6 linked regions of the Neurospora crassa OR74A genome follow. The protein of the gene in region 2 purifies or fractionates together with the protein of the main gene of each other region. This does not show direct contact. Links are inferred from orthologs where the notes say so. Each region holds a gene or a part of one and is shown on either strand. Other genes may lie near its edges. The genes, in order: NCU03207, NCU01820, NCU04799, NCU08663, NCU06892 and NCU03794.

Region 1 (4,972 bases), on a different chromosome or scaffold from region 2:
TTCCTCGTTGATGGTCGGTCTGTAGAGATAGACACACACTCATCAGCCTTAATCCTTACCATTGCAAAGAACCGAAACAACCAGTACCCAAAGGGACATCAAAAGGGATAACCACTTACAACTTATGCAGTACCGTCTTACATCCATAATACCCAAGCCGCAGCCGCAGCCCTCCTGTTCTATCATCCATCTTCTTCTCCATCCTCTTCTCCGCCCTCATGAGCAACACTGGCATCACTGCGTACATCACCGTCCAACCTCCCCAAGCCACGCCTGCCACGCTCTTTATCTCTTCCCAGATCCACCCTCCGTACCCTTCCTCATACAGTACAAAAGCCACCACCATCTCTGCCGAGACCATGAATGCCAGCGCCATGGAGCAGATGGCTAACCTAAAATAGGCGACGCGGGGTACCTCATAGTGGCGGAGGACAAGGTGAGCCCATACTGCTGAGGTGATGGTTAGGAGGATGGTCAAGCAGAGAATGCGGTTGTTGTGGTCGGGGCCAGAGGAGGAGACAAAGTGAGCGAAGGTGGTGATGGGTATGAGTTCAGCATAGGCGATGTAGCCGAGGAGTAGGCTGGTGAGGAAGGTGAGGAGGAAATAGTAGAAGGAGACGCGGATGACGAAAACGGCGAGGGCGATGTCCCAGAGGACTTCGATGATGGAGTCGGTGGTTTCGAATAATGGCCTGGAGCCCTCCATATGCTGTCTTTATACTTATATGGCTTATTGTGTGATAAGGGCGGTGATTTGGCAAAGTGATTGTTCTTGTATATGATGAGGACTGGTGTCACTCCTGTCGATGGTGTGTATGTGTTTGCGTATGTGTGCAGGTGATGATGAGGCAGAACAGACGCCAGTTGAACAGCAGTCGATGTAAACTTCCACTTGTGATGGATGAATTTTCTTTCCCTCTTTTTTTTCTTTTTTTTTTTCACGACATTGGGCTGTAAAGCATCTATATATCCATTGTGACCCAAACCTACACCGAGGCGACGTCGATGCTCAATCTGGCCACAGGAACAAGCCCTCTCAGGGGCCAGGAGATGGGGTGACTTTTGTGGCGTGACACGCTGAGCTGCCATTCCGACAGGTCGTTGGGAAGTGACATGACCAAATAGAAAACCGCTGAGCCACCGTAAATCCCAGGAATTAAGCCATGTCTATTTATTTGCCAGTTATCGTAAGGAACAAAGCCGTGTCAATGCAGTCGTTACAGACATGTGATGTTTACACCACCTCGTCCAAAGGGGGTAGGTGATATACAGTTGAGCGGCCCAGTCGCTGTGTCCAACCCCTGAGATTTACAAACAAGGACGTGCCAAAACATGATGACGACACAATGAAAGGGCATCCAACACGATACAGGACAATATCTAATCTATAATCATATCCCCAAACTCCCGTCGTCGCTTATCTTGGGTATCGTCTGTGTTTGTCTCCATGAAGAAAAAAGGAGTTCGTTGCGCACTGTTTCAGTTGAGTTGAATTGTCCAAGCACGCTAAAGACATGCTTAGAGTTCGGTCTTGGCCAGTTTTTGAGCCAGCTCATCAACCTCCTTGTCCTTAACCTGAACAACTGGCTCCTCCTGAGCCGCCTCGGCTTCCTTGATGAGCTTCTCTGCCCTCTCTTCGACTTCCTCCTCCTCCTCCTCTTCCTCCTCTTCTTCCTCCTCCTCATCTTCCTCCTCAAGGTCGCTCAGGCTATCAAGACCCCACTCGTCCTCGGCGACAACATCGCCACCAAACCGCTCCTTGCGCTCCTCGAGAAGATCTTGCAAAGCAATGATGGCCTCATCGTCCTCGGTGAACTTGTTGCCGTTGAGTTCGATCTTCTTCAAGGCAGGAAGAGCCTCCTCAGCGGCCAGAGCCAGACCCTTAATGCCAGGGGCGGTAATCTCATTGTACTGGAGGCGCAGGATCTCGAGCTTCTTGTTCTTTCCCTTCCGAAGCGCCTCCGACAAAAGGACACCGCCCTTGGCAGAAAGGAGAGAGTCACCGATGCCAAGTTCGATGAGCTCAGTCCAGCCGGGGGTCACCTTCGCAAGAGCCCTAGCTCCCTTGAGGGTGAAGGTGTTGTCCTGGAGGTCGAGAATCTGGAGCTCAGAAGCGTGGTTAAGACCCTCGCTCAGCAAATGGGATATGCCCTCTTGCCGAATACCGTTTTGGACCATCTTGATCTGCTTAACTTTGTTATGGAGTCTGAAAGTCTTAGCCCACGCGGTCATACTGCCGTTCTCCAGTCGGTTACGGCCGCAAATGACGGTCTCGAGGTAGGGAACATCCTGTCCCTGCTTGCGCGCTTCTTCCTTCTTGGCGTGGAGTTCGGACAGAGCGTCGGCAATCAAAATACCGGCATGGGGACCCAGGCCGTTGTTGTTCAGATACAAGTGCTGGAGAGGGACGTGTGCGGCGAGGAAGGCAACAAGGGGCGCCTGGGTGTTGAGGCCGAATGCATTGTCGTTGAGGTTTATCGTGTTCAACTTGGGGAGGTTGAGGATGGAGGTGAGGAGCGAGGAAAGGGCCTCGGGGATCTCGTTGAGCAGACGGCCGGTGAAGATATCGGCAAAGTTGGCAACCTAAAAGGCAACAGGTGATTAGCCGCCGTCCCTTCTTCGTAATGCGCCGGGGCGCATATATGCACTTGAGAACAGCTAGACATACACGAAGAGTCTTCTTGGTCGCGAGAACCTCACCAAGCAACTTGCAAGCGCCGACGCCCAAAGTGTTTCCCAAAAGGCGGACTTCCTCGACATCGTCCATGGCCCGGAGGGGGGCAATATGGGCCTCGAGGTCCTCGGCGGTGTCGAGCTTCAGACCTTTCCCCTCGAGGGAGAAGACCTTGGTAGAGACGGTCATTGTGTAAGATGTGTGTAAGAAAAAGCGGGCTTGGTTTCGGGAAGAACTCGAGTAGCACAAAGCAGACGCGAAGACGGTGGAAGCGGGAGGGAGATGGAAATCGCGTTGACGCGGTGGACGAGTGCAGGATAGATATGCAAGTGCGCTCAAACAGCCCCGAGTTCTAGCGGGGGAGGGGTTGACAAAAACTGCCACAGCGGCCGGGTCTAGGCGCTTCTCGCGCCTGTACACTAGGCGTCTTATGCTGTAGTGGGGGCATCAGTTAGGCAGCTAGCGAATGGGATGACGCACTTGCTTGAGATGAGCTGGTCATGAAGCCTCGGGCAGGGAGATCATGAAACAGAGGGAGACAGGGAGGCGATTGCCCCCCATACACCACACTGAAACGGACGAAAATCTGGGGCTCGGTGGGAGCCCAGGCAGGGATGGGGCCTGACCTCTAAGCCAGCCAGCTCAGGCGGCCGCCAGCTGTCGCAGGTTGCGCTTACCACTTTGCTGATAACGGTCACCCTGGCGCGATGGACATCGCCCTTCTGAAAGATGCGGCCGACGGCACCAGCAGGCGCACGGGGGACCCAAGACCCAGCCGTGGACGGGGCAGCTCCGCGTCGACAAACCTGGGGAAAGGAATGAGGAAGGTCCGAATTCTTACCTACATACACAGTAGACACAGCTGCTTCTTCGATCCAACAGTCCACCTCAAATCCCTCCTGCTCGACTATTCATTCGAACTTCGAACAACCTAGGTAGCTCGCACAAAACCCCAAGCAGATCAGGGCCACACGGTAACAATTCAACGCGGACCTCGTTACGAAACGACATCCGACATCAACTCGTGGCGCGACGCCATTCACCACCATCGCCAACTGTCGTCCGCAACTACGGCGCATTATCACCACATCTCTTCTTCTTGAACATATCCGCCTTGTTTGAAGGGGCGTACACATTGAGAGAACAAAACAACCCGATCTTCTACACACGAATCATTCAGCTACAATGACTAGAGAACACTCTCCTGCGGATGACTCGCCGCTGTCATCAATGGCGTCGTCCGACGAGGAAGAGATTTTCGCGGACGAGGTGCCAGAAGCCGTCGACGAACCAGAGGAGCCCCCCACAAAGCGTATCAAAGTTACCAGCGGGTCGACAGCCTCGTCGGCTGTTATCCAGGAGCCCGAGGCAGACCCAGACTTTCCAGACGGCATGTCCGATGTCTCCTCCGATACTGATGGCGACATCCCGAGTTCCCCAATCAATGCGCGACAAGACGAAGATGACTTCCAGGAACAAGTCACTGTCTGTGCTTGGGAAGGTTGCAAAGTTGGGGATTTGGGAAATATGGATAGGCTCGTTGAACACATTCACAACTCGCACATCGAAGGTCGACAGAAGAAGTACACGTGCGAATGGATCGGGTGTAGCAGGAAGAGCTTACCGCATGCCAGCGGCTATGCGCTCAAGGCGCACATGCGATCTCACACGAGGGAAAAGCCATTTTACTGTTATCTGCCAGGTAAGCCGCCCTCCTTTGGCAGTCGGAAGATGGATGGCCTTCTAATCCTTACGTGACGTACCAGAATGCGACCGCGCTTTTACACGTTCCGATGCCCTAGCCAAACATATGCGGACAGTCCACGAGACCGAAGCTCTACGGCCTTCTGACCCGGTGCCCAAGAGTATGCAAGCAGGGGGCGGTCCGGCTGGAAAGTCAGCCAAGGTAAAAATCATAATTCGAAGGCCGGATTCTCATGCGGCCGGACAAGACGACTCGGTTGACGATGCTAGCGGCGGAGACGACGGGGCTGATTTTACACCCTTGACCGAAGACCACGGTTTCACTACCAAGGAACTCGACATGCCGCTCGACAGGTTGATGAAGCTGTGTCGACTACAAGTCAAGTTGGTAGAAGCGGAAGGCGAGAAGTTGCGCAAGGACTGCAAGCTCTGGGAAGAGCTGTACAAGCAGGAGTGGCTTGAGAAGGAAATCCTCCTCGATCAGGTCGTACGCAGCGAACAGGCCTGGCACGCACGCCGTCAAGCCGTGTTAAAGGGTATGGCGGACGTTCAGCTGCCGGAAAAAGCTGTGGCAAACGGGACAGCTGGTGAGAA
Region 2 (3,454 bases):
TATGACCGACAAGCTCGCACGCCAAGTCGATGGATCCGAATGGTCATGGCACAACTGCAACGTTCTCTGCTGGGCTATTGGTTCTATTTCTCTCGCCATGAACGAAGAGACGGAGAAGAGGTTCCTTGTTACTGTTATCAAGGATCTTCTTGGACTGACCGAAATGAAGCGGGGCAAAGATAACAAGGCCGTCGTCGCCAGTAACATCATGTACATTGTCGGACAGTATCCCCGTTTCCTCAAGGCGCACTGGAAGTTCCTCAAGACGGTCGTCAACAAGCTGTTCGAGTTCATGCACGAGTCTCACGAGGGTGTCCAGGACATGGCCTGCGATACTTTTATTAAGATTGCCAAGTCTTGCAGACGCCACTTTGTTGCGCTCCAGCCTAGCGAGTCTCAGCCTTTCATTGAGGAGATCATCAGGGACCTTGGCAAGATCACTTGCGACTTGACTCCTCAACAGGTACATACTTTCTATGAGGCTTGCGGCTACATGGTAGCTGCTCAAGGCAATAGGCACCAGCAGGAAAGGCTGCTTTCTGAGCTCATGCAGATTCCCAATATGGCGTGGCAGGAGATTATCAGGCAAGCTAGCCTCAACCCTAACATCCTCCAGGATGCGGACACCATCAAGGTTATTGGCAACATCATGAAGACCAACGTCTCGGCATGCTCATCTATTGGTACCTATTTCTTCCCTCAGATCGGCAACCTCTATAGCGACATGCTTCAGATGTATGCCGCCACCAGTCAGCTGATTTCTGAGGCTGTTGCTCGCGAGGGTGAGATTGCTACCAAGATGCCCAAGGTCCGCGGGCTCCGAACCATCAAGAAGGAAATTCTCAAGCTTATTGAGACCTATGTCGACAAGGCTGAGGACCTCCAGGCCGTGCGGGAGCAGATGGTGCCTCCTCTCTTGGACTCGGTGCTTGTTGACTACAACCGTAACGTTCCTGGTGCTCGTGACGCTGAAGTCTTGAGGGCCATGACCGCCATGATCACTAAGCTCTCGGCTTTGATGGAGGACCAGGTACCGATCATCATGGAGAATGTCTTCGAATGCACGCTGGACATGATCAACAAGAACTTCTCCGAATACCCCGAACACCGTGTCGAGTTCTTCAACCTCCTCCGCGCTATCAACCTTCACTGCTTCCCTGCGCTTTTGAAGCTTGATAACCGTCAGTTCAAGTTTGTTATTGATTCGTGCATGTGGGCTAGCAAGCACGACAACCGCGACGTTGAGACTGCGGGCCTTAACATGTGCCTGGAGCTCGTCAACAACATTGCTGAGAAGACTGACGTTCAGACCTCCAACGCTTTCTTCAACCAATTCTTTGTCAGCATTCTGCAGGATGTGTTCTTCGTTCTAACCGACCAGGACCACAAGGCTGGCTTCAAGACCCAGTCCATGTTGCTCATGCGCATGTTCTACTTTGTCCACCCCGCCGATGGCTCGCCCTCGAGGATTCAGGGCCCCATTTACCAGCCCGATCAGGCCCAGCCAGGCACTAGCAACAAGGAGTTCCTCACCATGTTCGTGGGTAATCTGCTGCAGACCGCTTTTGCCAACCTCACGCCGTAAGTTTTCTTCCCCACCTTCGGACCTTGTAAGGTACCGAGCTAACCAAAAGTGCAAAACAGTGCCCAGATTACCTCGTTTGTTGAGGGACTCTTCACCCTTAACACCCAGTACGACAAGTTCCGCCTCGCGTTGCGTGACTTCCTTATCTCCCTTAGAGAATTCGCCGGCGACAATGCCGAGCTCTACCTCCTGGAGAAGGAGCAGCAAGAGACGGCGGCCAAGGCGGCCGATATCGAGAGGAGATCCAAGGTCAGCGGCCTGCTGAAACCCAGCGAGCTCGAGGACGATGAGCTGTGACTAGTTGGAGAGGAGCTTAGGAATGAGTTTGCGCCGACTTACGAGTCGCGCCGAAATGACGTACCACCAGAGCAGCCACACATGAATGGGCTGGCTGGTGCTGGTGATATGACGAAAGGAAAAAGAAGCGGCGGCGGCAAGGATCACGACCAATTCGGTGGCGATGGATGGGAGTTCTATGGTCTGTGAAATGAAATATGGCGGCGTTCTTTTTTCTTTTTGTGTTTATGTAAGTCACCAAATCAGTCGTATTTCTTGTATGAAACCCAACCCGGCATTTTATCAAGAGCCGACCCGCTAGAATCAGCCAAATACTATTGAATGAGTAGCATGCTGCCAGCCTCTTGTATCTGTTCCTCTCACTTTTTGTGTTATTAATCATAAGAAGATTGGGTGGGTGGCAGTACGCTTGTCTGGTTCACATCCGGAGATTCAAGGGTGATACTTGTGAAGAGTAGTCAACAACACGACAATGGGGGGAAGGTGTTGCTGACCGACTTGGTTGTTCCGGCAAAGTAGCCAGTTGGTGCGTGGTGCCCTCATTGCTCGCCTTCCTGCGCACATCCTTTGCAGTGGTCTGGTGCTAAGACGCTTCAGTGTATGCCGACTACATACCGATAACAAGTTTAGACACTTGTCCAATATTCGATCGTTCTCTTGACGCACTGCAGTCCGTCCACCAGAACAGCAGGTGTCTATTTTTTTTCACACTCCAGAACTGGTCTCATCTGAAGCTAGTGATCACCTTTTACTTTGAGTTGTGTTTTCACTCACTAATTGAGTCACGGCATTGACTTTTATACCTACCTGGTGAACTGACTGGACTGGGTTTCCATCTACTTTGCATCTTCTCTTTTTCAACCCTCCTCTCCTTCCTCTTTCAGATTTACACAAGGCGTTTCGCGTCCCGTCTCTCGAGGCTCACGTCTCCCAATCGGACTGGATCAGACCGGCATTCCCTATCCCGCGTTTGGAGTTACCTCGCTTTCTGTTCCGTTCACATTGTCCCACCCGGTTATGTCTTCCTTGCGTCACTTGAGGCTTTAATTTGGAGTTATCAGTATCAAGACGTTCCCTTTGGGTTTCTACTGTGAGCTTAATCGTTTACTTGCTCCCTTGTAATTCGATATATGTGGGTCTGAGTCTAGTACTTGTTGTGCGGGAGTTCAGTTCTTTGATGTTTACACATACGTATATATATATGTACAAGTTATTGTGGGTTATGAACTTCCATACACTTACCTTCCCACTTTCAGTTTCAGTTTCACCTTCTTTTATTTCCCTTTTACTTTCTCTTGTCTGTCGTCATAGCCCCTTGGCTTGGCTTTTTCGTGCCCGCCCGTCTATGTGAGAATCGCCGTACCTCTCCTTTCTCTCTCTCTCTCTCTCTCTTTCCCCCTCTCTTTTTCCCGCTCTTCTTTTGCTGCTATTGCGAGTTTACTCCTGCCACTTTACTTGTGTCTCAAAAGAATGGATCTCCTGAGGCAGAATTGTGTGCTCCTCTAATCTCAAGTAGTGTCAAACATGCTCTATCCTTTTTCTGAACGCGGAATGTAGTGACAAGGGAATAAA
Region 3 (5,369 bases), on a different chromosome or scaffold from region 2:
TGGTATCAAATAAACTTTTCCGGACCCCCCGTTGCGAGATCGACCCTAGAGAGTTGAATGGAGAACATGAAGAAACATCTGAGAAACACCTATGCCGGTGCGTGGGAAATCATCCATCGCTCAGGGCACATTTAAGCCTTCTGCTCCTCCGGCTTCTGCTCCTCAGCCTTGGGCTGCTCGCCGTTGGCCTCAGCGGGCTGCTGGGTGGGCTGCTGGCCCTGAGTCTTGAGGTACTCGTCATACACGGCAAGAGCCTCCTGGACCTTGACGTTAAGAGCGTTGTCATCCTCGAACCTACAGAGAGACAGGTTAGCGATATGTAGAAGAGTCAGGAATAGACATGTAGACTTACAGGTTGATCAGCTCAGCGTTGTCCATCTCGAGGAGCATGCCGGTGATCTTGCCAGCAAGAGCGGGCTGGATGGCCTGGATCTTGGGGAAGAGGTTCTCGCCAATGATCTGCTTCTGGGCCTGAGGATCCTGAGTGGTAGCGAGCTGAGCCTGGAGGAAAGAGCCAGCGCTGAGGTCGGCAGGAGCGCCAGGAATGGGGGAGGCACCACGGCCGGCAGCCATAAAGTTAGCGTTGCCGCGAGGAGTGCCGCGACCGCCACCGTTCTGGGGACGACCGGCAGGGGGGTAGCCGGGAACGGCAGGGCCGCCCTGGAGACCCTGGGGAATACCGGCGGGGATGCCCTGAGGACCCCGGCCAGCGGGACCGCCACGGCCACCACCAAGAGCACCAACCTGGCCCATAGCAGCCATGTACTGAGGGGTGTTAGGAGGGAAAGCACCAGGGCCGAACTGGTTGATGGGGTAACCCATAGGGGGCATCTGCTGGGGAGGGACGCCACCGCGGCCACCCTGCTGGTAGGGGTACTGGCCAGGGCGACCACCCTGAACGCCGGGGACGATACCACCCTGGGGGAAGGGGACGCCACGACCGCCGGGGGCGGGCATGAAACCAGGCTGCTGACCAGCGTAGTAGACAGGAGCCTGCATGTACTGCTGGGGCATACCAGCCTGGGCAGCGGCCTGCTGCATGCGGAGCTGGTTGCGAGCCTGGATGCTGGCCTCAAGCTGGCTCTTGCGGACATCCTTGCGCTGGGCAAGAGCGACGTAGAGGGGCTTGCCATCGACCATGCGCTGGTTCATCTCAGTGACGGCCTTGGTGGCATCATCGGGGTTGCTAAAGCAAACGAAGCCGAAGCCCTTGCTCTTGCCGAGCTTGCGGTCACCCTTCTTCTCAGTCTTCTTCTCAGAGCCCTCATTCTGCTCCTCCTCCTTGGTCTCACCCTCCTTCTTGTTCTCCTTGTCCTTCTCATCCTTCTCCTCGGAGCCCTCGATCAGAGAATCGCGCATGACCTTGGCGGAGGTGATGGGGCCATACTCAGAGAACATGGCACGGAGCTTGTCGTCATCGACATCATCGCCGAGGTTCTTGATGTACAGGTTGACACCCTGGTACTTGTTGGCCTTCTCGAGGCGGGCAGCCTCGTAGGACTTGCGGAGCTCCTCCTCGCGCTCGTGCTTCTTCTGGGCACGGCCGACGTAGAGGTCCTGGCCACGGAAGTCCTTGCCGTTGAGCTCATCAACAGCCTGGGCAGCAGCCTCGTGGGTGGTGAAGTTGACGAAACCGAAGCCACGGGACTTGCCCTCCTGGTCACGGGCAAGGGAGGAAGAAGTGACCTCACCGAACTTGGCGAAGAGCTCACGGAACTCCTCGTCGGTGACCTCGTTGTTAATGTTCTTGACATAAACGTTGGTGAAGTTGGCCTTCATCTCCTCGAACTTGCTCTGGCGGTCCTTCTTGGGAATGTGGTGGCCAACGTAGACCTTCTTCTCGTTCAAAAGCATGCCGTTGACGTGCTTGATGGCCTGGGAGGCAGCCTCATCGGTCTCGTAGTGGACGAAACCGTAGCCCTTGGAGTTACCGTGCTCATCCTGGGCAACCTTGCAGGAAAGGATGTTGCCGAAAGCAGCAAAGGTGTCGTGAAGAGCCTTGTTATCAATGGCAGCGTCGAGGTTCTTGATGAAGATGTTGCCGGCACCGGTCTTGCGGAGGGCGGGGTCACGCTGGGACCACATGATGCGGCAAGGGCGGCCCTTGATCAGGGTGTAGTTGAGCTCCTCAAGAGCCTTCTCGCCGTCAGCGGTGGTGTTGTAGTTGACGTAGGCATAGCCGAGGGAGCGACGGGTGACAGCATCGCGGCAGACACGAATGGAGGCGACAGAGCCGATCTGGGAGAAGAGCTCGAAGAGCATGGCCTCGGTGACGGAGGGGTCAAGCTCGCCGACATAGAGAGAGGCGGAAGCCTGGGGGTGAGGGGCAGCAGTGGGGGTAGGAGCAGCCTCAGCACCCTCGGCCTGGGCCTCGGGGACAGCGCTGGTGTCGATGGGGGCCGGGGCAGCGGCCTTGTTGTCGAGGCTGGTGTTGCCGAGGTCAGCGGCGAGCTGGTCGACAGCGGCGGTAGAAGTGGCAGCCATTTTTGCTGGTTAAACTGTAGATTCTGTATGATGGATGGAACTGTCAGCGTCCGTATCCTTTTGTGTGTGTCTGTGTCTCTGATCAAGGCGCCGAGGGGTAACCGATGTGTCGACCGACGACGACAGCGGAAAGGAGGAGGAGAGGACAAGTCTCAATTGACGTGACGTTGGGCGGGCGGCACTGGCGGCGGCCACGGCGACGACGACAACGACGATGGCAAGGCAGGAGGAATTGATAGTGCGACGAGCAACGTACCCGAGATCTAGAGTTGTGTGGAGCAAGTAAAACCGGCGCGGAGAACGGGCGACGGTATTGACAAAGAGGGAGGATGAACTCGACTGGTCAAGGACGAGATTCGGGAGAGGGAGAGGAAGACTGGTGGACTTGGAGACTTGGGTAAATGTCTTCCAAAAAAGGTGGGTGGATTTGGTGGGTTTTATGGGGTTTTGTATGGATGGGGGGGATTTCTCTTTTTTCGGCGATTTTCAAATTTTTTTGGTGAGGTTTTGTTTGTCACAGACAAGAAGTAGATAGAACAGAGACCGAGAGGGTAAATGTTCGTACTTATCTGACTTCTTTCTGGCTTCGGTTTGGAGGAGTTTCCTGAGGATAAAGGGCGTGAGGTCCGCTGAAGAAAGAAGAGGAGGAGAAAGAGGGCAAGAAGCAACGACGCCCGGATGGCTCACGTCTTAATGCGGAGGTCAGATTTTTTTTCTTTCCCGCCCACGCATCTTGTGGTTGCGCACTGTGCCGCGCCCCTCGTAGCCGGTGAAGTGCGGCTAGGGCGGTCAGGGCATGCGGGTATCGGGGTGGCATGGGCTGCAAAACCTTGATTTATCGATAGGACCCGCCAGGAATTCTCGCATAAAGGCATCCATCCACCTGTGCAGACTGCAGACCAGACCGGAGATCCAGCGAAACGTGCGACTTCCAACTTTGCCTGGCACTTCCACTTGCTCCCGGGCCACCACCTGAGATCAAGCATACTTACGGTACTGTGGTCGACCATGGCTGACGACGACTCATGCCAACAACAGGCAGACATGGGCACTTATTCATGAACCCTGGAGGGTTGTTATGAAACCCTGCGTTTCAGCCGTACCTATTTGGTATAAACCGGCGAGATTCACTTGTATTGAATCACGGGACATTCCATCTCAGTTGGCGGTTGGAGTTGAAGATGCAATAGGTTACAGCGGTGTGCCGGATTTTGGCACTGGGTCGCTGGCATCTGTCCCATCACCATGGAACAATGCTAACGACCGCCTTACCTTTCTGGAAGTCCGCTAGCAAACGGCATTGCTGCTGCATTCGTGCCACGGGCATATTTCACACCAGACAAAAATAGAGAAGTAAAACGGATGTCCTGAGTATCAGCATTCGCAGTCCATTTCACCTGCAAAAAAGACATTGTTGGCAAAGCCGCGCACGGAACCTTGGATGGGGCAACTTGGCCGGATGACCTGCCAGGATGTTGCAGTCATATACTGGTTAGCCAGCGGCAAAAACCAAAGTCTGGAACAGGGCATCTTGGGTACTCGAACAGTTCGAGCGTAATGACACATCCTAACATTTCGACGAAAAGGTTTTGGTCCTGATGGCGGCTGCTGTCTGTTGAGGTTGGTCCCATTGTGGTGATTGGTCCCTGTGCCGGGTCAAGTCTAACATGGAAAAGAACAAGATGTCAAGATCGGCTTGATACAAATACCCGAACCAGTCCCACCCGAGTTGCTGCTGGGTTCATCTGGAAAAGGAAGGAACTCGTATGAAGATATTCATATATCAAGACTACCTCCACCACCGTTAGCGCAGCAATTGGCACGGCGGACACCACAATCACTCAATCAAGAAGTCAAGTGAAGTGGAAGGAACCAAGGCGGGAGCAGGCATCTGACGGACGACGCTGCTTGGCTGTGTCCCAGACTAGCCTTGCCAGCCCAGGGCTTGTTTGACCTCTGGCCTTCGTGTTTGTGAGTAGGCCGGGGCGGGCATGGGCCATAGAACCCGTATTCATCGTCATTGAATTGGACATCAAAAAGGCACCATCCTGTTGTAGTTGATGGACGACAACAACCATTCAGGATTCTCTTCAGGTATAGAATCCTTACATAACTCTTCATTCGCCCGGACGAGCAATGTGCTCGAGATACCACCAGTCTTGTTACCTAGAGGTACCTCTATGTACCATGCTTCACATGTTTCAATGGATGTCATCGATGCCCAGCCTGCCTGCCCCGGGCGATAAGATAACACAGACAAAGGAAAGAGGGGTCATCTCCCAAGGCACCTCGCTGTACCTGGATTCCTGCTGAGGTACCTACCTCGACACTCAATCATGAGATCTACCACCAGAAACCTTTTGATGCTCAGCGCCGACGTTAACGTTCCGAAGCTCGTCGTAGGATTCAATCCGCGCTGGTGTTGTAGCAAGCCTCTACTCTAGGTCCCAAACAATGTGTCGCTAGCGCTGAGATACATGTCACTTCAGTTGGTTGATCGAGCTTATCAAGACATCGATTCGGGTTGGTGGCAGCGACTGAACTTTCTGGAACAGCTACCTCTACTGGTGCCTACCATTGTCTGGATTAGTGATGATTTGTTAGTGCAGTACCTAGACAGGTGCAAGTGCCGTAGCACTCCGCTAGCTATTTAGGTACCATAACAGTGGGCACACACCTGAAAGGTACGCAAAAACAGCGGGGATGTTGCTTCCAACCCAACAACGGCCAGGTAGCCGGCCATCGTCTCGTCATCACTGCCATCACTGCCGTGCCATCTCCATGAGCAACCTCCTGCAGTCCAACACGGGGACATCAACCACACCGTTCACGACGACCAACTGCAAGACAACACCTCCAGCGCGGAGATCCCGGCTCGTACGACC
Region 4 (5,186 bases), on a different chromosome or scaffold from region 2:
TGAACAAACATCTCAGCATGCCGGTTTTCTTTTTTGCGCGTTTCATGCCGTCGTTTAACATGGCTCGAAGGTTTTTTTCGGACCCATGGATCTGACGATTCTCATGATCACATCTCAAAGTACCAGTAGGGGTTTAGGTCTTCGCCTGATTGTAGGCCAGAAGGAACAATGCCGGGGATGTTCGGAATTGAAGTTGTCGGAAAAGAAGTGGTTCGGGGGGTCCAGGATGATAATTGCGAACAACTCGCCCGTGGCATTTGAAGGCTGGTTGCATCGAAAAATCCTGGTTTGGGACAAAGATACTTAGCAGAAGTGCTGCAGAGTTGAGTCCTGCGCGGCGAGCAAAGCTCAGTACTAGGTATGTACCGACGGTAGGTTGAAACCGTGACCAGTTTGAACCACTCGCTTCTGCCGGCTTTTTGCGACTTGCTTATCGATTCTCACAGCGAGCCAAAATTCCTGGGAAGTATTTGCCCAGAGCTGCTCCTCTTCCCGGCAGGTAGAAAGTAACTTGCAGGAAAGGAAGGAGCAAAAGGGAAAGGGGAAGAAGTTTCCGTGCGGGCTTCGCACCTTCCTGACCAACACCCGCCAAGCCAAACTCTGACTTGAAGACGGCCCGGGGATGAGAACGATGGATTTTGAGATAACCTAAACACCAAGAAAAGAAAAAAAAGAAAAGACCTAGTCTCTGAAAAATGGGACCCTCGAGCCAAGAAACCCAACCTATCACGAAGTAAACAAACCCCCTTTTCCCTTTTTGCCTTTAGCCCACCTACTACTGAACCCCTGACCCATGTCACACCCAACCCTCAACTCCACCACACAATTCATGAACAATTCGTGCTTTTCCGGTTCAAGAACACATCCTCTGGTGACAAAAGCATAAAACAATCGGAAGCCATCCTTCATCGGGTATGGTGTAGCGGTAACATCGTTGACTCTCACTTGTTTACAAGTGTCTGTTTTCTCAACAGCCCCGGGTTCGACTCCCGGTATCCGAGCGATAACGATCAACCTTCTGGTTCTCTTTTTTTCGTTTTATTTTTTCCATCTTTTCTCTTCGTTTCAAAGTTGTTCCTTGGCCCCCTCTGCATCGTTGTGAAACCCCGCGCATTTTGTGATATGTTTTCCTTTTTCTGGGGTTGTATGCTTTGGAACCTTTGTCCGGACTCGAAATAAACCTGTTTTCATAATTGATGATGACCGAAGGCGACAAGATAAAACAGACGGATGGAAAACATTTTGAGCAGATGTGTAACACTAGGCCTTGACTGACCAAGATCATCGTACATGACAAGTTGCACATCTTCGTTGATTTAGTACTTTGACGGTCGTAGCATCCTTTCAACCACGTCTATGCATTCACAACTATAAAGACAACAGAATGTTGGATGCAGAGGGCGCCAACACGGCAAGCCCATTCCCGAATCTATTCATGAAATGCCTTAAAAACGCAAACCCTGAAGAACAGCTAACTCCCAGAATTTTGATTTACCCCGAATCCCAAAGCCATTCACATCCACATATCAGACTCCAATCAAGATCACATCCTACTCCTTATCCTGAATCTCCATTTCCTCAAAGTCATCGAGGAGCTCGTCCATGCTGATCTTGGGGCCATCCTCCTCAGCCTCCGTCATCATGTCGGTATCGGCAATGCTCATGGCATCCGCCTCCCTCTTGGTCTTGAGCGAGTTCTTGTACAGAGCAAGAGCAGCACGAAGCTCCTCGTCCTCCTCGACATCGCGCAAGAACATCTCGTACTCGGCATCCATCTTGGCCTGGTCCGAAGCCTTGGGCAGCAGCTCGCCCTCGTCCTTGGCCATGCGCTTGAGCTTCCAGTTTCTCTTTCTGTTGCGGCGGCGGTTCGGGTAGTGCTTCTTGACGAGAACAACGTCAGGGATCATGGAACCGTACGCCTTGGAGCTCTCAATCGCCTCGAGCGCGTCCGAGTTGAAGTTGGTACCCTCGAGCATGTAACCCAGCACCGAGTCACCGGCGTGGAGATGCTGGCCGAGATGTGTGCGAGTGAAGTAGACGTTGTCGTTCACGCCGAGATCGGAGGCACGAGCGACCTGGACCTCGGAGAGAAGCCACTTTCCTTTTCGTACGCCTGTGGACTCGATGTCCATAACGATAAACTCAACAAGATCGGGAGTGCCGGCAAGCGGATGGAAGGGAGCACGCCAGTAGATATCGGCGCTGACTTCGGCGGTCTGGAGGGTGTTGGGGTCGAGAAGGTTGACAGATGTTCCTATCCTGTGGCAAAGGACAAGGGGAGAAATGTTGCCAATGGACTTGGCGAGTTTGAGAGGAAGGGCAACCAAATCGTCTCTGCAAACAGGCACGATTTCGACGGAGTAGTTGTACTTGTACGACTTGTTGCCGGTGTGTGTATCCGCGGAAATAAGATGCCTCGACTCCTTGGTGAGAACTGGTACGACGGACTTCAGGAAGCTGATGAATCCCTCGGCCTGGTTCTTCTGGGCAAAGTAGAAATCGATACCGTCCTTCTCTTCCTTGATGTTGATTGTGTCGCGATGGGCCTGGTGCCTGAGAATGAGCTGTTCGAGGAAAAGGAACGTCCTCTTGTGGGTGACCTTTTGGCGGACCTGTACGGCGGCGCGCCAGACGTTGGCTGTGTATGACTTGGCGCAGTCCTTGCACTGCTGGCTGGCGACGACGTAAGTGACCTCGAAGCTTTGCTGCATCAACACACCATCCGCCACCTGATCCTGAACCGTAACCTGAACCTTGACTCTTCGCGAATGGGGTTCTGTCCAAATGAACCTGGCGTCTGTGATGCGGACCTTGCCCAAATTCCTCAGTTTCTTCAAGCATAGCGACAACAACTCTCTCGATTCGGGGGCGGCTGTGACCCAGCTGGCGGGGGGTAGGAGCCATCTGTCGCAATCTTTGCAGAAGTGGAGGGTGGCCTCGCGCTGGATGCCCTGGGAGATATCGACGGTGGACTTGATGCAGTCGTAGCAAAGAGCGCCGGCGGAGGATGTGCCATCGATGGGAGCGCCGCAGTTGCAGCAGAGAATGCTATTGGTGGTGTCAGCAATCATGCCTTCGATAACCTTCAGTCTTCATGGTCAAAACTCACGTAGCACCTGTCCTGGCAGAGCCCATCAACGGGGCCATGGCCATAGGAGCGTCGAGATCCATGATTAATGAAGTTGTGGTTTGCGACAAGATATGAATCGGGGTATCAATTGTAAAAACAAACAAAAGTCGCTATGTCGTGAAAAGGAAAACCTGGGAGTTCCGTCGCAATCACAAGTGAAGTTGCTGCGGATGAGAAAGAAGTTGACGACTGGAAATTTGAATGGACCAGGACGAGAACGAGTCGCTGGGGGGGAACGTTGGAGGCGCTGACGGGACGGTCGTCAATAAATTTCTTGATGGGCCCAGCACCAAATCGCCCCGCGCTGCATTGATAAGCAATTCGTTATCGGCTATCGGCTACCGTGGGTACTTAGAGGTATTAGCACAAGCCAGTGCAGCAGTACGTACAATTGTGGCGTTCTACTGCCGGCTTTGCCACACCAATAAATCAGCCTCAAAACTTATGGAGCTTTAGCTCCGGCCAGCTGTATTGCAGCTGTCGGGTACGAGCTCCTGATCATCTCCCCCCCTTGTCGATCTGTTGACATTGAACTGTCGATTCGTGTTGACTACTGGTCGATAATATTTTCAGGTGACTGGAAAATCAGCTTTCCCAGTCAGAGGTGCATATGGCTGGGTGACTGGACTATCAAGAAGCCATTCATCCTCAACCACGACGCTGGTAGGCATCGCAAGAGCCCTGACCCTCATTAACTTTCACAACATTACTTTTTGCCTTCGCCACCACCTCCCTGGAAATTCATGCTGTAACCACCGGTCTTCTCATCCTTCACCATCTTGAAATGGTCAGTGCTAAGACCAAACGGCTTAAGCAACCCATTCCCAAGGTCCTTCAACTTGCCCCACATTTCAGCAGTCTCCTTCTCCTGAGCAGCCTTGGCCCGGGGCGGCAGTGCTCTGAGTTGCGCCTGGACGAGCTTTCGGTCGGTAGCCGTAAGGTTGGTCATGGCAGATAGCTTCTTGTAATCCTCGATAGCCCCCTCGAGGGTGGACCATCCACCCAGCTCGCTCCTTGCCCGGGCCCGGCGTAGCAGAGCTTTGGCCCGTATCCTGGCAATATCCTCTAGTCGCTTTTGGCGGGCAATCTGCGCTTCAGTTTCCGTGACAGGAACGGCGGGTCCGGCCTTTGCTGCACCAGCGCTGACAATCTCCTCTTCGACATCTTCCTTCTCCTTCTCTTCCTTCTCGGCAGCCAGCTTGTCCTCCCGCTCTAGCTTGTCAAGCAAGTCCAGAGCTTTGGTTGCGTGCGTGATGGCATCCTTCCAAGCTTCCAGCATGAGGTGACAGGCGGCCACGTTGGAGCGCAAGACGGCCAAGGGGTAGTCCAGGTAGTTTGGACAAACAGCAATGGCTTCGTCATATTTGTTGAGGGCGGCATCGTATTTGCCCGAGGTGAAGAGGGCGTTTGCCTCTGCTTTGTGTGTGTTGGACTCAGCTACCAATTCCTGCTGAGGCGGTCAGTCACAGAGGTTTGGGCATCAAGAGGGTCTTTGTTGTTGTTGCTTTTGGTCGTGGGTACTTGCAGCCTCTTCTTCAGGTGAGAATTTGATATCGGCCTGCTTGGATTCATCATTTTCTTCCTCTGCTTGAGGATCCTTGACCTTCTTCTGCTCAAGCTTGTCATCAGGAGTTTTGGAACTCATTTTCAAGGCAGGTTTGTTTAAAGTGCTACAAGGTTGCCGGTATCGGAATGGTAGTATCTTTTCAGTAGCTCGGAGTGAAAGCTGGAAGGAGGTCTGTAGAAGGAAGGCGTTTTGCGGATGAGATAATGGGACATGCGAGATAAGAAGCCGCGCGCGGACGGAAGCTGTCAGGGGCGGGCAGCGGGCATTTACGCAGGAGCTTGGGCACGGCAGCTACCTCTAGGCATTGCAGGTCTTGGCAAAAGTGGACCTCTACACTACGTCTGTTGGTATCGGAATCCGAAGTGAAGTTATCTGGTACCAGTACTGGGAGAGGGGGGTGTTACAAACTCTTCGCGAATTGTCTTTGGACAGTTAGGAATTTGGTGACTTGTACTTAGATCCCTCGCGCGGTTTAAGTATTTGAATGTC
Region 5 (4,730 bases), on a different chromosome or scaffold from region 2:
CGACCCGCCTCCCCGCCTGCAGCTCCTGCACTGCATCTCCAACTCCTTCCAGGGCGGCGAATCTCTCTTCAGCGACGGAGCGCGCGCCGCTTACTCCCTGGAACTCAACAACCCACTAGCCTTTGACCAGCTGCGCGGCAACCGCTCGCCGCAGTTCCACTACCACCGCAACGGCAACGACTACCACATGGGCCGCAACACGTTCCGGTACGCCGGGCGGACGGGCGAAGGCAAGGGGTTTCTGAGCCGGATCCACTGGGCGCCGCCGTTCCAGGCGCCGTTTAGCCGGCAGACGGGCGCCACGGCGACGAACGTGCTCGGCAACCGCGTCATTCAGGACGGCGGCGGCGGTGCTTATGCCGAGAACGAGCATGCGGTGGTGGTGGAGGAAAAGGGCAAGAACATGACCAAGTGGGTGCCGGCGGCCAAGGAGTTTGAGCGCGAGATTAGCGCCGAGGAGAACATGTTTGAGCTCAAGATGAAGGAAGGAGAGTGTGTGATTTTCGATAACTGGCGAGTGTTGCATGGGCGCAGGGAGTTCCAGACGGAAGGACAGGCGGAGGGCGCCGAGAGGTGGCTCAAGGGCACATATATTAGCCATCAGGTGTACAAGGCCATGGAGGATAAGTTGCAGTGGAGGTTGGCGCAGAAGGAAGGGGGGATTCCTTTGGCTATTGGCGTGGCGGAGGCGCATGGGTTGGGCTGGAAGGAGAGGGGGCAGTTGCCCAAGAAGGAGGCTCCTAAGCAGGAGACTACTGCCCCTGTTCAGCCCAAGGAGGAGGCACCCAAGGTCGAGGAGGCACCCAAGGTCGAGGAGACTCCCAAGGTTGAGGAGACTCCCAAGGTTGAGGAGACTCCCAAGGTTGAGGAGACTCCCAAGGTCGAAGAGGTTCCCAAGGTCGAGGGGGCCGGGAAGCCCGAGGAGGCTCAGAATGAGGGTCCTTCGCGCCAGCCTAAGGAGCAATTGGGCACGGTGAACTGGAACGCATAAAGCCGGGCGAGAAGATAGGGTGATCGGAAGCTGTATGATGTGTAATGACCTCTTGGGAGCGAGGCGTATGTAGACTACTGTATATATTACGAGGTTTGATACCAAATCAAGGAACACGAAGAACTCTAGAATCTTGGTCATCTGTGTTTTTCGCCGTTCAGGGGTGTCTAGTTGAATATGTTTCGCAACGTCATGACCTGTGTGTGACGCAGTATCGTCCCGTGTCTGCGGTGGTATTGGTTCTCTAGCCCGGAAACCACAGTCGTTGTTTCGAAGTGTTCAACAGTTGACCATCTTCCTCCACGACTTGGACTGCGCCCTTTTTCCCGTGTGCGGTCTTCCTTTTCTGCCTTCCATAGGCATGAATAAGTCGAGGTGATACCACCATCCTAAGAACCCAGAAGTTCAACTATCCCCCACGCCATCTTCCTCCTCATGCGATCATCTCCAATCTTTAATACGCAGGATCACATCACCATCACAGGAAAAAGCACAAGAGGAACAGACCAAAAAATCCAGGGAAAGGAAACGATGGATCATTGCACTATTTCACCAGCCCAACGACCCACCACAGCACAAAGCCCCTTGAGGCAATTGTTCTTTTTTCCAATTGTTTTTTGTATTGTTTTTCCATTCCCCTGGTCGGGTTCGGTTCGGGTACATGGAACCGTGCTTTCGCAGCAGCTTCTTGCCCCCTTGCCTTGGCCAGTCAAAGCCAAACTTAAGCAGCAATGGTGACCTCAACCTCGACACCGGCCTCGATGTTGACAATGATCTGCTTGACGATCTCGGTGGGGGCGGTCAAGTCGATGAGGCGCTTGTGGATGCGCATCTCGAAGAGATCCCAGGTCTTGGAACCCTCACCGCAGGGGGACTTGCGGGTCTGTTTTGTTGTTGGTGACACGGGTTAGTATGTGCGATCGAAGAAAGGAGAAGAAAGAAGAAGAAGAAGAAGAAGAAGAGGGACGATGGGTGACATACGGTGATCTTGAGGATCTTGGTGGGAAGGCGGACGGGGCCCTTGACGCGCAGGTCCTTAGTCTTGGCGCGCTCAACGAGCTCGGAGCAGACCTTCTCAAGAGCCTGGACCTTGCGGGAGGTGAGGGTGATACGGACACGGTGGACCTTCTGTATTTGGGGCGGGTCAGTTAGTTTTTGTTCCTGTTGTTGTTGTTGATGTCCCCGACCACGGGGGAGGTTTATCATGGCGATGACGACGACGACGACGACGACGACGACAGCGCCATCAACGGGCAAAAACGTACGGGGGCCTCGCCGAAATCCTTCTGGTCCTTGTTGTAGGAAGACATCTTGACTTGGTGTTGAGATGGGTTGGGTCGGGTCGACTCGATTGACTGCTAAGGAGGCTGCTGGGCTGCAAAAAGGTGCCTTCACGACTCGAAGGAGTAGATTGTACGGCTTCGGCAAAGTGATGAAGGCGAAGCTTGGGATTCTGGCGAACTGGAAGTTGAGTTGTTCTGGCGAGCGTTCAACAGACCGTCGAGATTAATTTTTTTACTCCATATTTTGCGCGCGACGGGGGCATTGGCGATTTTGTGGGCTTGGCGTGTGGCTTGCGCTTGTTCGGTTTGGTTTCCTTAAGTTGACCCCGCCCTCAGAGGTGTGGCTGAAGACTGAAAGAACCTTGGGAGGATCATGTGGCTGAGGATCTTCGACGACGGGGGATCGTCCAGCGTAGGTCTTGCCGGCCGGCATCTCCCCGCAATGACACATTCGGCGTAAGAATGAATAGAACGGAAGTCACTTTGTACCTTTCACGACTCCCCGTCCAAGTTGTCCAACCGCATGTCACGGTGGGGCACCATTCAACTTCCATTTCCAACTTCCCATCTTCACTTTCATTTTGTCCCCTTACCACGTCTTGACGATTCTTAATAGACTCGGACTTGTTGATAAATAGACGGGGTTGTCTTTTTGCCTTGTATCGATATTTCTCACTCACACTGTTTACTAGTACGCCACCCCCGTGGTCAGGTCAAGGTCACTGCATCTCGCTCATCGACGTCAACATCTCCAAGTCTTGGCATCAAACACCCTCCTGGCCAGCTGTTTACATATCACACCGTGGCTGATTATGGCCTCCAAACTTCCAGCCTTTGCGCTGTTCCCCCTCGCCGCATTGAGAGACCAATTGCTCCCCGATGAATGGATCGCTTGCCTAGACGCCTGGCTCGTACTCATCGACAGCCACCTCTCGCTTCCTGATGCTACATTCCTCTCCATCTCAGCCAGAGACGAAAGCCTTACCGCATTCCTTACCTCCTTCGCTCACCAAACCGCACTCGGTAGTACCTCAATTCTCGGCCCATCCCAATCAGCAAAGCGCCTACTCAAGGACTCTTTCCTCTTAACCTCACGACTGCTCCGCTCCTCATCGCCACCAGTCCCTCTAACGCAATGGGAATTTCTCTCCGACTTCTGCCGTGTCTACGGCAAGAAGCGATCCTCCGAACTCTTATCGTCCCTCTCCGAGCCTGCTCAAAAGTCCCTAGACGCCTCACTATCCGCCCTCAAGAAGGTCCTCATTAAGAACCTGGACCTCGGTCTCCAAGAAGGCGGCGACCTGAAGGGCGTGGAACAGCGACTGGACCGAGTAAATGACCTCATTGGATCTTCTCCACAAGTAGCCAGTTTCTTCTTGGCCGGTAGCGACTTTCTCGATGGGCTGGTGTCTTGCTACAAGATCATGAACCCTCCTCTCCGCAAGGTGATCATTGCCACGACGTACCTCTGCATGGTTGGGCTGGCGGACGGTAGCCAGGATCAGAAACTGTCTGCTTTGACGGATCAGCTGTATTCTCTCAAAGCGGCGGCGGATGCGCACAAGGCTGGGCCAACGAATGTCAACGATTCTTTAGTGGCCGAGTTGGTCACTTCCACACCATTACTACAACAGCTGCAGCGGAAGTTGGAAAGTGTTGGGTCTGGTAACATCCGAACAAAATCCGTCCTGAAGGAATTGGCAGCCTTCAAAAAACCCGGCGGTGGCATCCCCCGTCCCAAAAGGCTAGTCAACCGCCAGCGCAAGGCAATCGACAAAGGCAAGGGCAAAGACCTCTCCTCCCTCGAGGACACGCAACACCAAGAAATCCACATCCACCGCATGTCCCAAATCTCTCAAATCCAAGATCTCTTCCCCGACCTCGGCTCCGGTTTCATCTCCAAGCTCCTCGACCACTACTCCTCCGACACCGAGCAAGTCGTCGCCTGTCTCCTCGAGGACTCTCTCCCACCCCACCTCCAATCAGCCGACCGATCCGCTCCTCTTGCACCCCCATCCCCAAAACAACCCAAACCCCAAGGACACCTTCGCTCACCAAAATCCACCCCACCCCTACCTCCAACCAGAGGCACCACCACCGCTACGAATCCCCTCGTCGACGACGACGACTTCTTACTGTCTGTCCCCGCATCCCAACTCCAACTGGGCAAACGCACCGACACCTCCGCCGACCTCTTACTCTCCGCCCCGCCGACTACCTCCAACCCCACCTACAAATCCCGCATCCTCTCCGCCCTCGCCGCCTTCGACTCCGACGACGACGAGCGCGACGACACGTACGACGCGGCCGACGTGGGCGGGACAGTGGACGCGGCAACCGTTGCCGCCGGTGTCGAAGACATTCGACTCCAAGACAACCAACCTTCCCAGGGTGGTGGTGCTGGTGGGTTAGCGGAAGCGACAGAGGCCGTGCTTTACGAGGTATGGAAGACGCGG
Region 6 (5,221 bases), on a different chromosome or scaffold from region 2:
TCTAGCAATCCACAAATGTTGGACTAAGGGGGTATGGCATTGCTTTCACACAGTTTCGCATGGCGTTGTAGTTGTATCCCAAAACCCCTATTTTCTCTATTGCCATGAATTGGTATCAAAATCATCTGTACAAGTTATAAACTAGAATGCCGGTTGACAAACATTTTCCGTATCAGCGCCTATCCTATGTGTGGTACCCTTCCTTACCGTTACAAAAATCCTATAGTACTCTAAATCCTAGGACCTATACCAAACCGATCCACTCGTCTTCGCTGGCGTTCCCCTCATCCTGCTGCATGACATCGTTCAAGCTCATACCGCCAGCGCCCGGCTGCTCATCCGAGCCGGTGGTAGCCCACTCAAGCGCCAAGGTCTTGGTGGTATTAGTCTCCTTAGCAGCGCTCGCCTGACCGAGGAGGTAGTCAACCATGTAGACGTTTTCATCGGCCAACTTCCTGATCTCATCCCTCATCTTGGAAACAGCCCTTGCGACAACACGAAGCTCAACATCGACCTTGCCGCGGTTGGCAGACAACCACGCGCCGTGCTTGTCGACCAGAGCCTTGATCCAAAGAAGACAGAACTCAACGTGAGGGCTCTGCTCGGTCTGCGCGGCAACGTACCGCAGCAGCCTGGCAACGTACACGTTGGGAAACTGCTCGACCACCAGAGGGATGTCGGTGTAAGGGATGGCCTGGAAGACACGCTGGATCAGACCGGCCTCGTTCAAGCGGAAAGCCATGACGAGAGCCTTGAGGTAGTCCTTCTCCTTCTCGAGCACGGCCAGGGTAGAGGTGGGGGTGATCTCCATGTTGAGGTCAAAGGGATCGAACTGGATGGTGGTGTCCAGGCTGTAGATCAAAAGACCTTCTGTGGAGGCGGCGCAGAAAGCACTTCCGTTCGGGGAGAAGGCAACGCCGTTTACTCTCACTTCGGGATTCTTCCTCCGTGCGGAGGGGTCGCCGCGCTTGGAGCCTGGGAGTGACCTGTCTATCCTGTCCTCGAAATCGGAGGCCTCGCCTTGCTCGTCCAGGAGACCCTGGGGTCCAGCCTCGGTGAGAAGCTTGCTGTTGAGGAACTCTTGAGTGCCTTGAATTGAAAGATTGACGCTCACGGTGTACTTCTTCAGGAGAACCATGGTGGTGACGGAGTACAAGCAAATATACTTGCTGTTTCCGCCGGCCAAAAGGCACGATCCGTCTGTGCTGTATCTGATGGTGTTGAAAGCCTTGGTACCGGCAACATTGGCCGCAGTCCTGCGATCACCGATCTTCCGACCGCCGGAGACATCCCTGCGTCCATCAAGACCAGCTTGCTGCTCAGCTTCCGAGACCGACCAGAACGACAGGTTGCCGTCGAGAGTGGAGATGGCAATCTGGAGAGAATCTGGCCTAAAGGCAATGTCGAGAACATCCGAGTTGAGCTGGAGAGGCTCGCTTGTTTGTGTGCGGTTGAAGATGGACCAGATACGGGCAGTGCGGTCCCAACTACCACTCACAAGAAGACCGCCGTTAGGCGCAAAGGCCAAGGATGACACAGGGCCCTCGTGTCCCGAAAGACGATCTAGGAGCTGGCCAGTCTGGACAGACCAAATATGAATGTCGAAAGAGTCAACGGAGCCAGCCGCCACGATTTCGCCACTAGGATCAACTGCCATGCAAGAGAAAGATAGCCTTTCTGGTGCTGTAAAGGTCCTGAAGTTTCTGTATCTGATCAAGTCCCAAGCCCTGATGGAACCGTCCAAACTCGAGGTAAACAGGACATTGCCCTTCTTGGAGAACTCGCAAGCAGTGATGCCGCTCGTGTGCTCTGTGAAGGTAACAATGCAGAATCCCGATTCCGTATCCCACACCTTAATCTTTCCATCATCGGCGACTGTGACAATCCGCTGACCGTCCGGAGAGTAAACGAGGGAGTTCATCGAGTCGAAATGGCCCTGCTGCTTGAGAATGTAAGACTCGGACTGCCACTCCCACACCAAAAGCTGACCAAGCTTGGATGCGCCAAACGCCAGCCACTCGCCGCTCTTGTTGATCGTCACAAAGTCAATTTCGTTCTGGGAGATGCTGAGAGTGTGGATCATGTTGAAGTCGGGCATTTCGTAGAGGCCAAAGATACCGTTCGAGAAACCGGCAACCAGCAAGTTCGATTCGGGATGGAAAGCGGCGCATCGTACGGTGGCGCTGTTCTGCATGAAATAGTGCTTGTTGACTATCCTCCAGGCCAGGTCATCGTCGTCCACCATATCCTCGTCCTGTCCAGGCTTCGCAACGTATTGCCAGTCGAATACGGCGCCGTCCTTGCTGACTGTGTAAATCGTCTCTTGATCCTTGGAAAACCACGCGCCCACGACACCCTGCCTGTGACCGGACAGAACTGTAGGTGTGAACCCCTCCTCTTGATCAACACTCCATATCCTTGCTGTGAGATCCTTGGAAGATGTGAGGAAGAATCGCGAGTCGTGGGACCACTCGATGTGACGGACATCGTCGAAGTGTTGGACGTGGGTATGGTGCTTGACGAAGGGCGCAAACTCGAGCTCGCCGTCGGCGTTGGCGTCGGGTGTTGAGGGAACGTGCCAAACCTCGATTTTCCTGCCGAGTCCAACAATGAAGTGGCGCCCCGATGGCGAAAAGGAGAGAGCCGTTACTGGAGCCTTGAAGGAGAAGTGATATAGTACTACGCGCCGGGGCACGTTGGTGAGAATAGCTTGGCCATCTTCGTCTATGGAGAGTAGGAGGTTGCCCTGGGGCGTGAGACCGATACGCGCAATGTTCTTTCGGTGGGAGAAGGGAAGGGTATATGATTTGTTACTGCGACCGTGTTAGCCAGCTTACAAGCCATGCGCCAGGCAGGTGTGTAGGGAATCTTGAGACGTACTCGACAAGGTTAAAGACTGTCACCCTGTTGCCAACGGGCGAGAAGAGATGGGTACCGTCCGGGCTGAACAAGAGGTTGCCCTGGCAGTAGACTGTGCCCAGTAGATTAGAAAACTTGAAGTCGGTCTTCATTTTCAAACACTATTCCATGCCTCGACTGTCAACGTTGGAGATGGAGCAGAACTGGGATAGTATCTGGGGATTCGATTATGTACAGGAACTGGAGGACTCTTTCGAGTCTGTATAGGTAAGTGGAACAGAAGTTCAGTTACAGGCTGCTGCTGTTGCGCCTAGACCGCCCGTACGTTCAATGGCGATTCTGCCAGCCAAAAATTTCATAAACTTTTTGGCGGGGAATGGAGTCGGGTTAGCTCCTCGCTTTGGCACCAGCTGGCAAAAGACTTGGCGTATCTGGCAGCCTCACCGACCGCAGCGAGACCAACCACTGCACGGCACCACCAAGCACGGTCACCAAGCACAGTGCAAGGCTGGCAGAGCTGGCAATCAAAGGGTCAAAGGGTCGACCAAGTTTCCATGGCAATGAATGGCTGATCACCGCCAATGGCGCTAGCAGGGAAGGCACGCATCGATTAAATGCTCGGCGAGGGTACCTGGCAAGCGCGTTTCAGTGGAGAGCTGCCAGCGTAGGTCCGTCTCTGGGGACCTGGAATTGGGGAAGTGTGGGAAGCAAGTGGAAAAGGGGAGGGTCCACTCATTTCCCTGCCGCGCAGCCAGTCAAGAGCGGCCTTGTGTGGTGGCAGCTCTACACTACTGCAGAATGCCGGGCTCGAAAGGTGCCATTGGATTATATGGATCGTGTACCGTGCGCCTTCTCGGCATCATCACAGACGGCTGCCGTGGCCCCGCCCAGGCACCTCATCTGGAGGATGGAATCGAATGCTGCTTGCTCGCTGCTTGCTCCGTCCGTCTGCTGCCGCGGCCCTGCAGTGCCTGGAGTGCTTGGGGTTCAGTCAGTGTGGGCTAGGTTTGGCCTGGCGCTCCCGTCCCCGTCGCTGGTGCTCTCTCCTGCGTGGGTGTGTGGTGCTGGGTTGGGCCAGATGAATGTGGTGTGGAAATTTGAACAAGTAAATTCCCCTGAACGAAAGCACAGAGCTCCACGACGGGTCCCCCGTCCACTCACCACTGCAGTTCCATCCCCCGTCTGCCTCTCGCTCCCACCCGTCCACTGTCAACACCAACCTAATTTCGATTCCCATTCACGACCACCACCATACCCGTACACCACGCATCCCGCCTGACGCTCTTTTTCTCCAATTGCCGGTGCTTCTTCTCGCCGTTACAGCAACGGGATCGTGACTTAATCCTCTACCCATAATTATCTCCCAGTTTCGTGTTTCGCCCAGCTGAAGATGGCCCCTGCCACTACCGAGAGCGCCTCACCGATTGGCATTGCCAATCTGCCCAACCAGCGACACAAGATTGTTGCTAAGAGAGGCGCTGCTTTTACTATTATGGTGCGCTTCACTGTCCAAAGCTTGCCGAACCTCGCGCTTGTAAAACCAATGCTGACGGCGTGGGTGGATAGGTTGCTGGCGAGTCCGGCCTCGGCAAGACCACCTTCATCAACACGCTGTTCTCCACGACCATCAAGAACTATGCCGACCACAAGAGGCGCCACCAGAAGCAGGTCGACAAGACCGTCGAGATCGAAATCACAAAGGCTGAGCTCGAGGAGAAGTTCTTCAAGGGTACGACAGCACATCACGCAGGGGGACCTTGGTGTCTTGTAGGAGAGCTCTGTCTAACCAGCTTATAGTTCGCCTGACTGTTATCGACACCCCCGGCTTTGGTGACTACGTCAACAACCGCGACTCGTGGATGCCCATTATCGAATTCCTCGACGACCAGCACGAGTCCTACATGCTCCAGGAGCAACAACCCCGCCGTCAGGACAAGATTGATCTCCGTGTCCACGCCTGCTTGTACTTCATCCGCCCCACCGGCCACACGCTTAAGCCCCTAGATATCGAGGTCATGAAGAGACTCTGCTCTCGCGTCAACCTCATTCCCGTTATTGCCAAGGCCGACACTCTCAGCCCTGCCGACCTGGCGAGGTTCAAGTCCAGGGTAGGTTTTTCCCTTTACTTGAAGATACCACCCATCATCGCTAACCATGACTTCTAGATCCGTGCCGTCATCGAAGCTCAGGGTATCAAGATCTACCAGCCACCTATTGAGGAGGATGACGAGGCTGCCGCACAACACGCACGCAGCTTGATGGCCGCTATGCCCTTTGCCGTTATCGGCTCCGAGAAGGATGTTAAGACCAGCGATGGACGTATTGTCAAGGGCCGTCAATACTCGTGGGGTGTGGCCGAAGT

What was found.
Region 1: the proteins of NCU01820 (region 2) and NCU03207 purify together in Saccharomyces cerevisiae (affinity purification with mass spectrometry, with the first as the bait; 4 studies listed by BioGRID). This does not show direct contact. The link is inferred for Neurospora crassa OR74A from reciprocal best matches to the Saccharomyces cerevisiae genes CRM1 and RNA1.
Region 3: the proteins of NCU01820 (region 2) and NCU04799 purify together in Saccharomyces cerevisiae (affinity purification with mass spectrometry; 3 studies listed by BioGRID, with this or other methods). This does not show direct contact. The link is inferred for Neurospora crassa OR74A from reciprocal best matches to the Saccharomyces cerevisiae genes CRM1 and PAB1.
Region 4: the proteins of NCU01820 (region 2) and NCU08663 purify together in Saccharomyces cerevisiae (affinity purification with western blotting; 3 studies listed by BioGRID, with this or other methods). This does not show direct contact. The link is inferred for Neurospora crassa OR74A from reciprocal best matches to the Saccharomyces cerevisiae genes CRM1 and NMD3.
Region 5: the proteins of NCU01820 (region 2) and NCU06892 purify together in Saccharomyces cerevisiae (affinity purification with mass spectrometry; 3 studies listed by BioGRID). This does not show direct contact. The link is inferred for Neurospora crassa OR74A from reciprocal best matches to the Saccharomyces cerevisiae genes CRM1 and RPS20.
Region 6: the proteins of NCU01820 (region 2) and NCU03794 purify together in Saccharomyces cerevisiae (affinity purification with mass spectrometry; 3 studies listed by BioGRID, with this or other methods). This does not show direct contact. The link is inferred for Neurospora crassa OR74A from reciprocal best matches to the Saccharomyces cerevisiae genes CRM1 and PWP2.

The regions. Positions count from the first base shown.
Region 1 is NC_026501.1:4,905,294-4,910,265, reverse strand, and holds NCU03207 (ran GTPase activating protein 1), read right to left. Parts: upstream 3,191-4,972; 5' UTR 2,864-3,190; coding exon 2,669-2,863; intron 2,584-2,668; coding exon 1,519-2,583; 3' UTR 1,141-1,518; downstream 1-1,140. Other genes in the region: NCU03208 (hypothetical protein), read right to left, coding at 1-19, 120-706; NCU03206 (C2H2 finger domain-containing protein), read left to right, coding at 3,860-4,376, 4,441-4,972. UniProt on the Saccharomyces cerevisiae protein: GTPase activator for the nuclear Ras-related regulatory protein GSP1 (Ran), converting it to the putatively inactive GDP-bound state.
Region 2 is NC_026502.1:2,299,059-2,302,512, forward strand, and holds the end of NCU01820 (exportin-1), read left to right. Parts: coding exon 1-1,581; intron 1,582-1,644; coding exon 1,645-1,882; 3' UTR 1,883-2,223; downstream 2,224-3,454. UniProt on the Saccharomyces cerevisiae protein: Receptor for the leucine-rich nuclear export signal (NES).
Region 3 is NC_026506.1:863,556-868,924, forward strand, and holds the start of NCU04799 (polyadenylate-binding protein), read right to left. Parts: upstream 3,155-5,369; 5' UTR 2,741-3,154; intron 2,508-2,740; 5' UTR 2,485-2,507; coding exon 353-2,484; intron 295-352; coding exon 132-294; 3' UTR 1-131. UniProt on the Saccharomyces cerevisiae protein: Binds the poly(A) tail of mRNA. Appears to be an important mediator of the multiple roles of the poly(A) tail in mRNA biogenesis, stability and translation.
Region 4 is NC_026504.1:4,180,019-4,185,204, reverse strand, and holds NCU08663 (60S ribosomal export protein NMD3), read right to left. Parts: upstream 3,439-5,186; 5' UTR 3,172-3,438; coding exon 3,110-3,171; intron 3,049-3,109; coding exon 1,551-3,048; 3' UTR 1,240-1,550; downstream 1-1,239. Other genes in the region: NCU08664 (tetratricopeptide repeat protein 1), read right to left, coding at 3,837-4,577, 4,656-4,775. UniProt on the Saccharomyces cerevisiae protein: Acts as an adapter for the XPO1/CRM1-mediated export of the 60S ribosomal subunit. Unlikely to play a significant role in nonsense-mediated mRNA decay (NMD).
Region 5 is NC_026507.1:683,375-688,104, forward strand, and holds NCU06892 (40S ribosomal protein S20), read right to left. Parts: upstream 2,543-4,730; 5' UTR 2,302-2,542; coding exon 2,257-2,301; intron 2,120-2,256; coding exon 1,973-2,119; intron 1,875-1,972; coding exon 1,713-1,874; 3' UTR 992-1,712; downstream 1-991. Other genes in the region: NCU12046 (gamma-butyrobetaine dioxygenase), read left to right, coding at 1-991; NCU06893 (hypothetical protein), read left to right, coding at 3,087-4,730. UniProt on the Saccharomyces cerevisiae protein: Component of the ribosome, a large ribonucleoprotein complex responsible for the synthesis of proteins in the cell.
Region 6 is NC_026505.1:2,436,809-2,442,029, forward strand, and holds NCU03794 (periodic tryptophan protein 2), read right to left. Parts: upstream 3,186-5,221; 5' UTR 3,012-3,185; coding exon 2,881-3,011; intron 2,814-2,880; coding exon 245-2,813; 3' UTR 75-244; downstream 1-74. Other genes in the region: NCU03795 (cell division control protein 12), read left to right, coding at 4,250-4,354, 4,426-4,588, 4,657-4,967, 5,025-5,221. UniProt on the Saccharomyces cerevisiae protein: Required for bud-site selection and cell separation. Also involved in nucleolar processing of pre-18S ribosomal RNA.